Macaca mulatta: one gene and its partner. The protein of the gene in region 2 interacts with the protein of the main gene of each other region in a biochemical or structural test. Links are inferred from orthologs where the notes say so. Each region holds a gene or a part of one and is shown on either strand. Other genes may lie near its edges.

The links. The genes of interacting proteins can lie anywhere in the genome.
Region 1: the proteins of WWP2 (region 2) and DVL2 form a complex in vitro, tested with the Homo sapiens proteins (2 studies listed by BioGRID, with this or other methods). The link is inferred for Macaca mulatta from reciprocal best matches to the Homo sapiens genes WWP2 and DVL2.

Annotation. Positions count from the first base shown.
Region 1 is NC_133421.1:8,718,399-8,722,144, forward strand, and holds the start of DVL2 (segment polarity protein dishevelled homolog DVL-2), read right to left. Parts: upstream 2,587-3,746; 5' UTR 2,302-2,586; coding exon 2,108-2,301; intron 1-2,107. Other genes in the region: PHF23 (PHD finger protein 23), read right to left, coding at 3,662-3,746.
Region 2 is NC_133425.1:65,564,749-65,568,233, forward strand, and holds the end of WWP2 (NEDD4-like E3 ubiquitin-protein ligase WWP2), read left to right. Parts: intron 1-171; coding exon 172-268; intron 269-485; coding exon 486-558; coding exon of another isoform or gene 559-562; exon of another isoform or gene 563-591; intron 592-914; exon of another isoform or gene 915-985; coding exon 986-1,085; 3' UTR 1,086-2,866; downstream 2,867-3,485. UniProt on the Homo sapiens protein: E3 ubiquitin-protein ligase which accepts ubiquitin from an E2 ubiquitin-conjugating enzyme in the form of a thioester and then directly transfers the ubiquitin to targeted substrates.

The DNA.
Region 1 (3,746 bases), on a different chromosome or scaffold from region 2:
TTCGGCACGAAGCAATCTGCTCAGCCTGACAGATCCCAAAGCCCAGCCTTGGGGTCATCTCTCCAATGGGTTCCCTGTGGTGGACTGGACTTGCCCCTTCTTCTTGACCACGACATCAAACCATGAACACTTACTCTGATCAACACCATGTCCTGGCCACACACCACACACTGACACTTAGGCATTAACAAATACTGTCAACTAAATGAATAAACATATAAAGCATCAGACTCTCTGCCCTGGTTGTTTCTCTCTCTCTTTCCACACACACCCTTGCCGCCAAATTAGGACACCTTGTCTAATTAACCCGTTAGCCTAATATGGTCATAAGAGCCAGGATATATATCAACTTAATCCATTTGCTGTCAATGTGACAACACAGCCCAGTCACTACCAATCTGTGTCAGCATCATGTAGGATTCTTCCCAACATAACACAATCTCAGCATAGCTCAGTCCACTCTTAAGACAAATTACTGTGTATCACCATAACCTTTATAGAGTAGTCAGCCTCAATACTAATGACAATTACCATTCACCATGAATTTACCATGTACCACACACCTGAACTAACCATTTCATTCTGTGATTTTCTCCATGTCACAGACGAGATCAAGACACAAAATTTAAATTAATTGTCCAAGATTGCACTGCTGACAACTAGAAGAACCTTGACTTAAAGCCAAGATAACTCCCAAGATAGTATCACCCTTCCCATGTCAAACAATCTTTCTAGCTAGAGTCCAGTTTGTTCAGTTCTTCTAAAACCCATGCTATCTCAACTTAATCCAGCCTGCCTTCAAAAAAGCAGAGGTTGGGCTGGGCGCAGTGGCTCACGCCTGTAATCCCATCACTTTGGGAGGCCGAGGCGGTCCGATCATGAGGTCAGTAGATCGAGACCATCCTGGCTAACACGGTGAAACTCCGTCTCTACTAAAAAAATACAAAAAATTAGCCAGGTGTGGTGGTGGGTGCCTGTAGTCCCAGCTAGTGGGGAGGCTGAGGCAGGAGAATGGCGTGAACCCGGGAGGCGGAGCTTGCAGTGAACCGAGAATCAGCCACTGCACTCCAGCCTGGGCGACAGAGCAGACTCTGTCTTTAAAAAAAAAAAAAAAAAAAAAAGCAGAGGTTGAGGACCCAGAGAGGGCTCAGCCCCAAAGACCATAAACACAAAAGGGCTTTCTCTGCATTATTTACATGCCAATCTAGTCCAAGATAGCCCTGAATGTCCAAATTACCCTAGGATAGCCCAATCTATTCTAGCACAGCCTACAATGTCCCCACACGCAGCTAGCTGTCTGCACCAATATAGACTAGAATACCCCAATACAGCTACCTGTACTAGCATGGGCACCAACAGCCTTGTCTGCCCCCATACTGAGTGCTCCAATAAAACCATGTCTTGCCCCAAGATAAACCAGGATTAACCAATACAGCCCAGTAGAGTCCATAATGGCCCAAGTTTGTTTTGTTTTGTTTTTTGGTGTTTTTTTTTTTTTGGAGATGGAGTCTTGCACTGTCGTCCAGGCTGGAGTGCAGTGGCGCGATCTCGGCTCACTGCAACCTCCGCCTCCCAGGTTCAAGCGATTCTCCCTGCTTCAGCCTCCCAAGTAGCTGGGACTACAGGCGCCCGCCACCACGCCCGGCTAATTTTTTTGTATTTTTAGTTAGTACAGATGGGGTTTCACCGTGTTAGCCAGGATAGTCTCGATTTCCTGACTTCGTGATCCGCCCGCCTCGGCCTCCCAAAGTGCTGAGATTACAGGCGTTACAGGACTCCTGAGAACGTACTAAACGACCAGACGATAAATGAATTTACTCAGTACAGTCTAAAACACTCCAAAATAAACCAGTATGCCCCCACCTATTCCAGTAGAGCCTAATCGTCTCTAATCTGGTTTAGGATATCCTAGTCTGCCCGTGTGCCTCAATCTATCCAAGCATAACCTTGTCCATCCTGGGAGAGTCAACCTACCTCAGCATGGTACAATCTGCTCCACCACAGGCCAGAAAATCCTAGTGTGGCCCGAAGTAGATGTGTGCCCCTCCACGTCGCCCAATCCACTCTAGCAAAGCCCCCGTCGGTCCTATCTAGGCCTTGCGCTCACCCGAAATCCTGATCCATAGACTTGAAAAAGTACTTGGCGCCCGCGGGCCGCTGCAGGACGCTCTTGAAATCGCCGAGGGTGATGCGCTCGGCGGGGACAGGGATCTTCACCAGGTATGGAGTCTCTTCCTCATCCAGGTGGTAAATCACCTTCGTCTCCCCAACCCCACCGCCCCCAGCGCTGCTGCCCGCCATGGTCTCGCCCGCGCGCTCCCGGGCTCCACCGCCCACCCAAGGGGCTAATGGCCCCTGCCGCGCCTGCGCACACCCGCAAACCGACGAGCGAGCGCGGACAGGACGGACCCAGTACTGGAGAGAAGCAAAGGGAAAAAAGCAGGGGTCGGCAAGGGTGGCGGCGGGGGGCGGGCCGCGAGGTGCGACTCAAAGCCGCGGTCTCAGCGGCCGCCGCGCGCCACCGCCACCGACAACGCGAGCGTCCTCCAGGTCCCCGCCCACCTCTCCTCATGTCACGTGACCTAAGCCCGCCCACCCCGCGCTCTTCAGCCGCCCCCGTCACGTGACCCCTCCCAGTCACGTGACCGCGTGACTCCTCCTAGTGCCCCCGCCACGTGATCGCTGCCTTCGGCAACGGTCTCCCAGCCCCCAAAGGTGTACCCCAGCCGAGGTCCTCCGAGCACCCAGGATAAGCTGGCCTGTGCCCTCAGGAAGCGGACAGTCGGCTCCCACCCGGCTTTACCCCACACCGGCGGGAGCGCGAAGCAACTCTGACCCTCAGGAGTGTGCGTGCAGGGAGTGAAGGTGGGGATTGTGGGGGTTCCTAGACTCGAGTGGGGAGGGCCAAATACAATGAAAGCTCTGAGGTGGCTTACTCAAGTATCTTGGGGTGGGAGAGGCCCAGTGCTGTGCCATCTTCAGACTGGACTGTGAGAGGTGGCTTTCAGCACCACGTCCAGCTAGTCTTCAGCCACCAAAGCCTCCCTCCCAAGCAGGACAGTGAGGGCTATAAACACAAAAGAGCCCACTCTGCTTTATTCACAACACGCAGGCTGTCTGTACAAACAGCGGCCAATATTATTAAAAAGAGGTGAGTGAGAATCGTCACCTTTCTGCTTTCCTTCCTTGCTTGGCCAGGCTCTAGTACTCCACCTTTGAGCTGCCATGCCCAGTAGGGGAAGTCCAAAATTAAAAATACAACCGGTGTAGAAGAAAATAAATGGGGAGTGAAATAGAAGAAAAGATGAGGGAGGGGAGTGCTAATATTTACACTAGAGTTTTATAGACAACTGTCCCATTCCATCCCAATTCCAATCCTGACCCAGAAAGTGATGGTGGCAGGTCCAAGAGACAGAGATTATGTGTCTAGAGACACAGACAGCCTCCCACCCGCAACCGTAATGGGTTCAATTTCAAGTTCAGAGTGGGGAGGACGGATAGGGTAGGAAAGTGAGACACTCATTTTCAAACAAGTCTCCCTTGGGAATTCCTGCCTTGAAGTGCGGACAGTATCCAAGCTCCAGGGGGTAGGCTGAGGACCCTGAGGCTCAGTTCCCAAATCATGTTATCATTTGGAAGTTCCAGGCTAAAGTTGGTGCCGTCAGGGCTCTCCAGATTTGGGAGGCCCCCCTAACCGCCGGGCCTCTGGCCTCAGTTCCTTGCATTTCTGGCAATAAAAGAAGTCA
Region 2 (3,485 bases):
TAGCAGGAGCACTTCCGGGCTTTCTCAGGTTGGGGGCTGTCATCCCCTGGCCAACCTGGCTCTGTGTCCTCAGCCCCAAAGAGGGGCCCCGCTGAGCTGGAGAGCTCCACGTTCGGGCTAAGTACTGGGCCCGTGGGTCGCCTGACTGTGCCTTGACTTGCGGACTTCCAGGTGGTGAAGGAGATGGACAATGAGAAGAGGATCCGGCTGCTGCAGTTTGTCACTGGGACCTGCCGCCTGCCCATCGGCGGATTTGCTGAACTCATCGGTACATTTTCTCTCGCCCTCTGGTGTCCTGGCTGGCAGTGAGGACAGCTCAGAGGGAGGGGGGAACCTAGTCTTTTCCTGGAAGCACGTCAGTGGGATGGAGAAGAGCTGAGGCCTCTGTGTCCTGGGGCTGAGCCCATCTGTGGGTGGAGCCGGAGGGTCCTGCTTTGGGAAGGCACGTCTCTGTTGACATGGGTGTGTTTTACCTTGGATCACAGGTAGCAATGGACCACAGAAGTTTTGCATTGACAAAGTTGGCAAGGAAACCTGGCTGCCCAGAAGCCACACCTGGTGAGCCTTCTAGTTTTAGTGGGACGTCGGGGGGCCTCAGACCCGATGAGCTCCTGGGACAGCCCAGTGGGTGTAGCAGCTTCTTAGCCTCGAGTCTGACAGCTTTTGCGTGGCCCTGGGGTGTTGGGTTGGAGAGATGGGGCTGTGATGGGCATCTTATCTGCCGGGTTTTACATATGAAGCGCTTCTGTTCCAGTAGTCCAAGAGCTACTGCCCTAAGTGTCCCCCCAACCAATTTCCAGCTGTCCTGGCCCCTCCCTTAACACCCCATGGTCCAGGTACCTGCAGTGTAAAGGCCTGACTGGCAGCCCCTGAGCCCTAGCCAGTGTGGCGCAAGCCCTGTGGCCCTGCTGCAGGCAGGCAGGGCGGGGCTGTCAGGGCCCTGGCCTCCTGGGGCTGACTGTCGTGCTTTCCCCGCTCTCGATAGCTTCAACCGTCTGGATCTTCCTCCCTACAAGAGCTACGAACAGCTGAGAGAGAAGCTGCTGTATGCCATTGAGGAGACCGAGGGCTTTGGACAGGAGTAACTGAGGCCGCCCCCCCACACCCCCCAGTGCACACATAGTCCTGAGTCCTCCCTGCCTGGGAGGCCACCGGCCCTGCAGCCCTTGGGAGGCCCCCGTGGATGTGGCCCTGTGTGGGACGACACCATCATCTCGCTTCTGGCAGAAGAGCCTGATCCCAGGAGGCCCTGCAGTTCCCCCCACCCATGGATGGCAGTCTGGAATAAAGCCCCCTAGTTGCCTTTGGCCCCACCTTCGCAAAGTTCCAGAGGGGTGACCCTCTCTGCAAAACTCTCCCCCATCCCCTAGACCCCACCCTGGGTGTGTGTGTGTGCAAGGGAAGGTGTTGCATCCCCAGGGGCTGCTGCAGAGGCCGAAGACCTCCCGGACTAGTTTGGCCAGGAGACCGGCTCCTGGGGTGGGCTGGGCTGTTCTGGACTGAGAGCCAAGGGTCTTTGCCAGCAAAGGAGGTTCTGCCTGATGATCGAGACGAAGTGAAGGTCTGAGGGCGACGGCCCTGGGGCGAGGCCATCTCCGCCTGCCTCCCTAGCAGGCAGCAGCAATGGAGGCTGAGTCGCAGGACGCATGCTGGTCAGTTAATTCATTCTCAGCAAATGAAGGTTTGTCTAAGCTGCCTGGGTATCCATGGGACAGAAACAGCAGACTCCCTCAGACTTTCTTTTTCCATTTATAAACTTGAAGCGGTTGTGTTGTAGGGTTGCAGTTTTTTTTGTTATGCTGCTGTCACTTTCTGTCCAGGAGTTGGCACCCCAGGCGTTCTGAGACCTTGAGGGACCCAGGCCTTTGGGTCCACGAGTTTCCCAAACAGCCACGCGTCTCAGGAACCTGCCTGGTGGTTCCGTGAGCTCAGGCGGGCCTGACCCAGCGGCGCAGCCTGGCAGGGACCTCGTCCCCGAGCCTGGCAGAGTGGGAGGGGTTGAGGTCCCGAGCGCCACTCCTAGCCTTGCCGCCTTCAATAGAGAAGAAATCCCTTTGCTAGATAGGGTCCCCCAGGCAGTCCCCAGTGGCGGGACACAGGGATCCGGCTGTGGAGCTCTCCCGTCAGCCCTTGGAGTTCCAGGTGGGCCTGCTGGTCCCCTGTTCAGAATGGAGTGCGGCCCGGCCAGCGGAAAGTGTCCATTCTGCGTAGGTGCTTTATCTGCACACAGGACGTGGAAACCAGCAGAAAGGCCCTGACCTGCTGCATAGCCCGGTCTGATTTCTGCAGTTCCCACCAGCCTCCAACCCGGGGACTCTGCCATAATTGGAATCTTCACAGGTCACATTGAAATCTTCAAGATGACCATGCCCCCCCAGGATGCTGGGGCAGTAATCATGGCAGACTCCCTGCCCGGGCCCCCAGGATTCTAGGACCCCAGGCAGCCCCTTGGCCTGGTCCCGGGTACCTTCCAAGCACAGTCTCCATGCTCCCAGATTCTCGACCTTTCCCTGGCCGGGGAGGTGCAGCCTGCGTCTGCCTGTGTCATGTGTGCTGATTTGAGTGGCTCAGCTTGCCACAGCGCAACCTCTTCTGTCCCTTTCAGTCATTTGCCGTACTTCCCTGCGGCACGCCACCACGGAAGCCGCTCCAGGGTGGGTCAGGGCGTAAGCTGCTGGTGAGGTTTGGAAGCATCAGGCTCACGGGTGTTCGTGTGTGTTCGTGCGTGTGTGTGCGTACGTGTATATAACTGAAGTGTCTGTACGGAATGCCCTTTGCTAGCCATGGGCTGGTCACCAGACTATTTTGTAATACCCGCCCCCTGCCTCGATATTGCCAGTTTCTTGTGCAATAAACAATCAGCAGCTGTGGGTGGTGTTGGTGTGGATGTTTACAAACCTGTGGTCCTCTAGTCAAGAGGACTCTGGTCCTCACAGACCCTCCAGGCCTGGATAGGGGTGGAAATTCCCTGACCTCGCTGGTTTTGAGAAGCCTGTGTGTCATGGACCGAGGCAGCCCCCAACTTCTGGGCTGGGCAGCTGAGTCCTGGCCCAAGGATCACCAGCTTCAGCCCCTGATCGGCCACCTCACTGCACCCTTTCGGGACCTCTGCGTCCCCCTGCCAGACCCGGGGGGGTCTCCAAGCAGTTGCTGTGGGGTGCAGAACAATAACAGCTGCAGGTTGGGGCTTCCGAAACTGGCTTGCAGGGAGAGTGTTCTAGGCAGTCATTCATTCAGGAAATACTCAGGTTTCGCAAGTTCCACGACGGTCGATGGTCGAGGGACTCTGTGATCTTGACCTCAGGGTCACGTAAAGGCTTGCCACCCACTGTTTTTGGTTTTGACAGATCACCATGCTGATGGGTCCTGAAGCATTTGACAAGGAAGTGACTTTGTCATGGATCAAGCAGGGCCCCGACCGTGCCTCCAATGCTCAGCGGGGCAGAGGTGTTCAGAGCGGGCTCCCTCCTGGGTTCGTCAGCTGG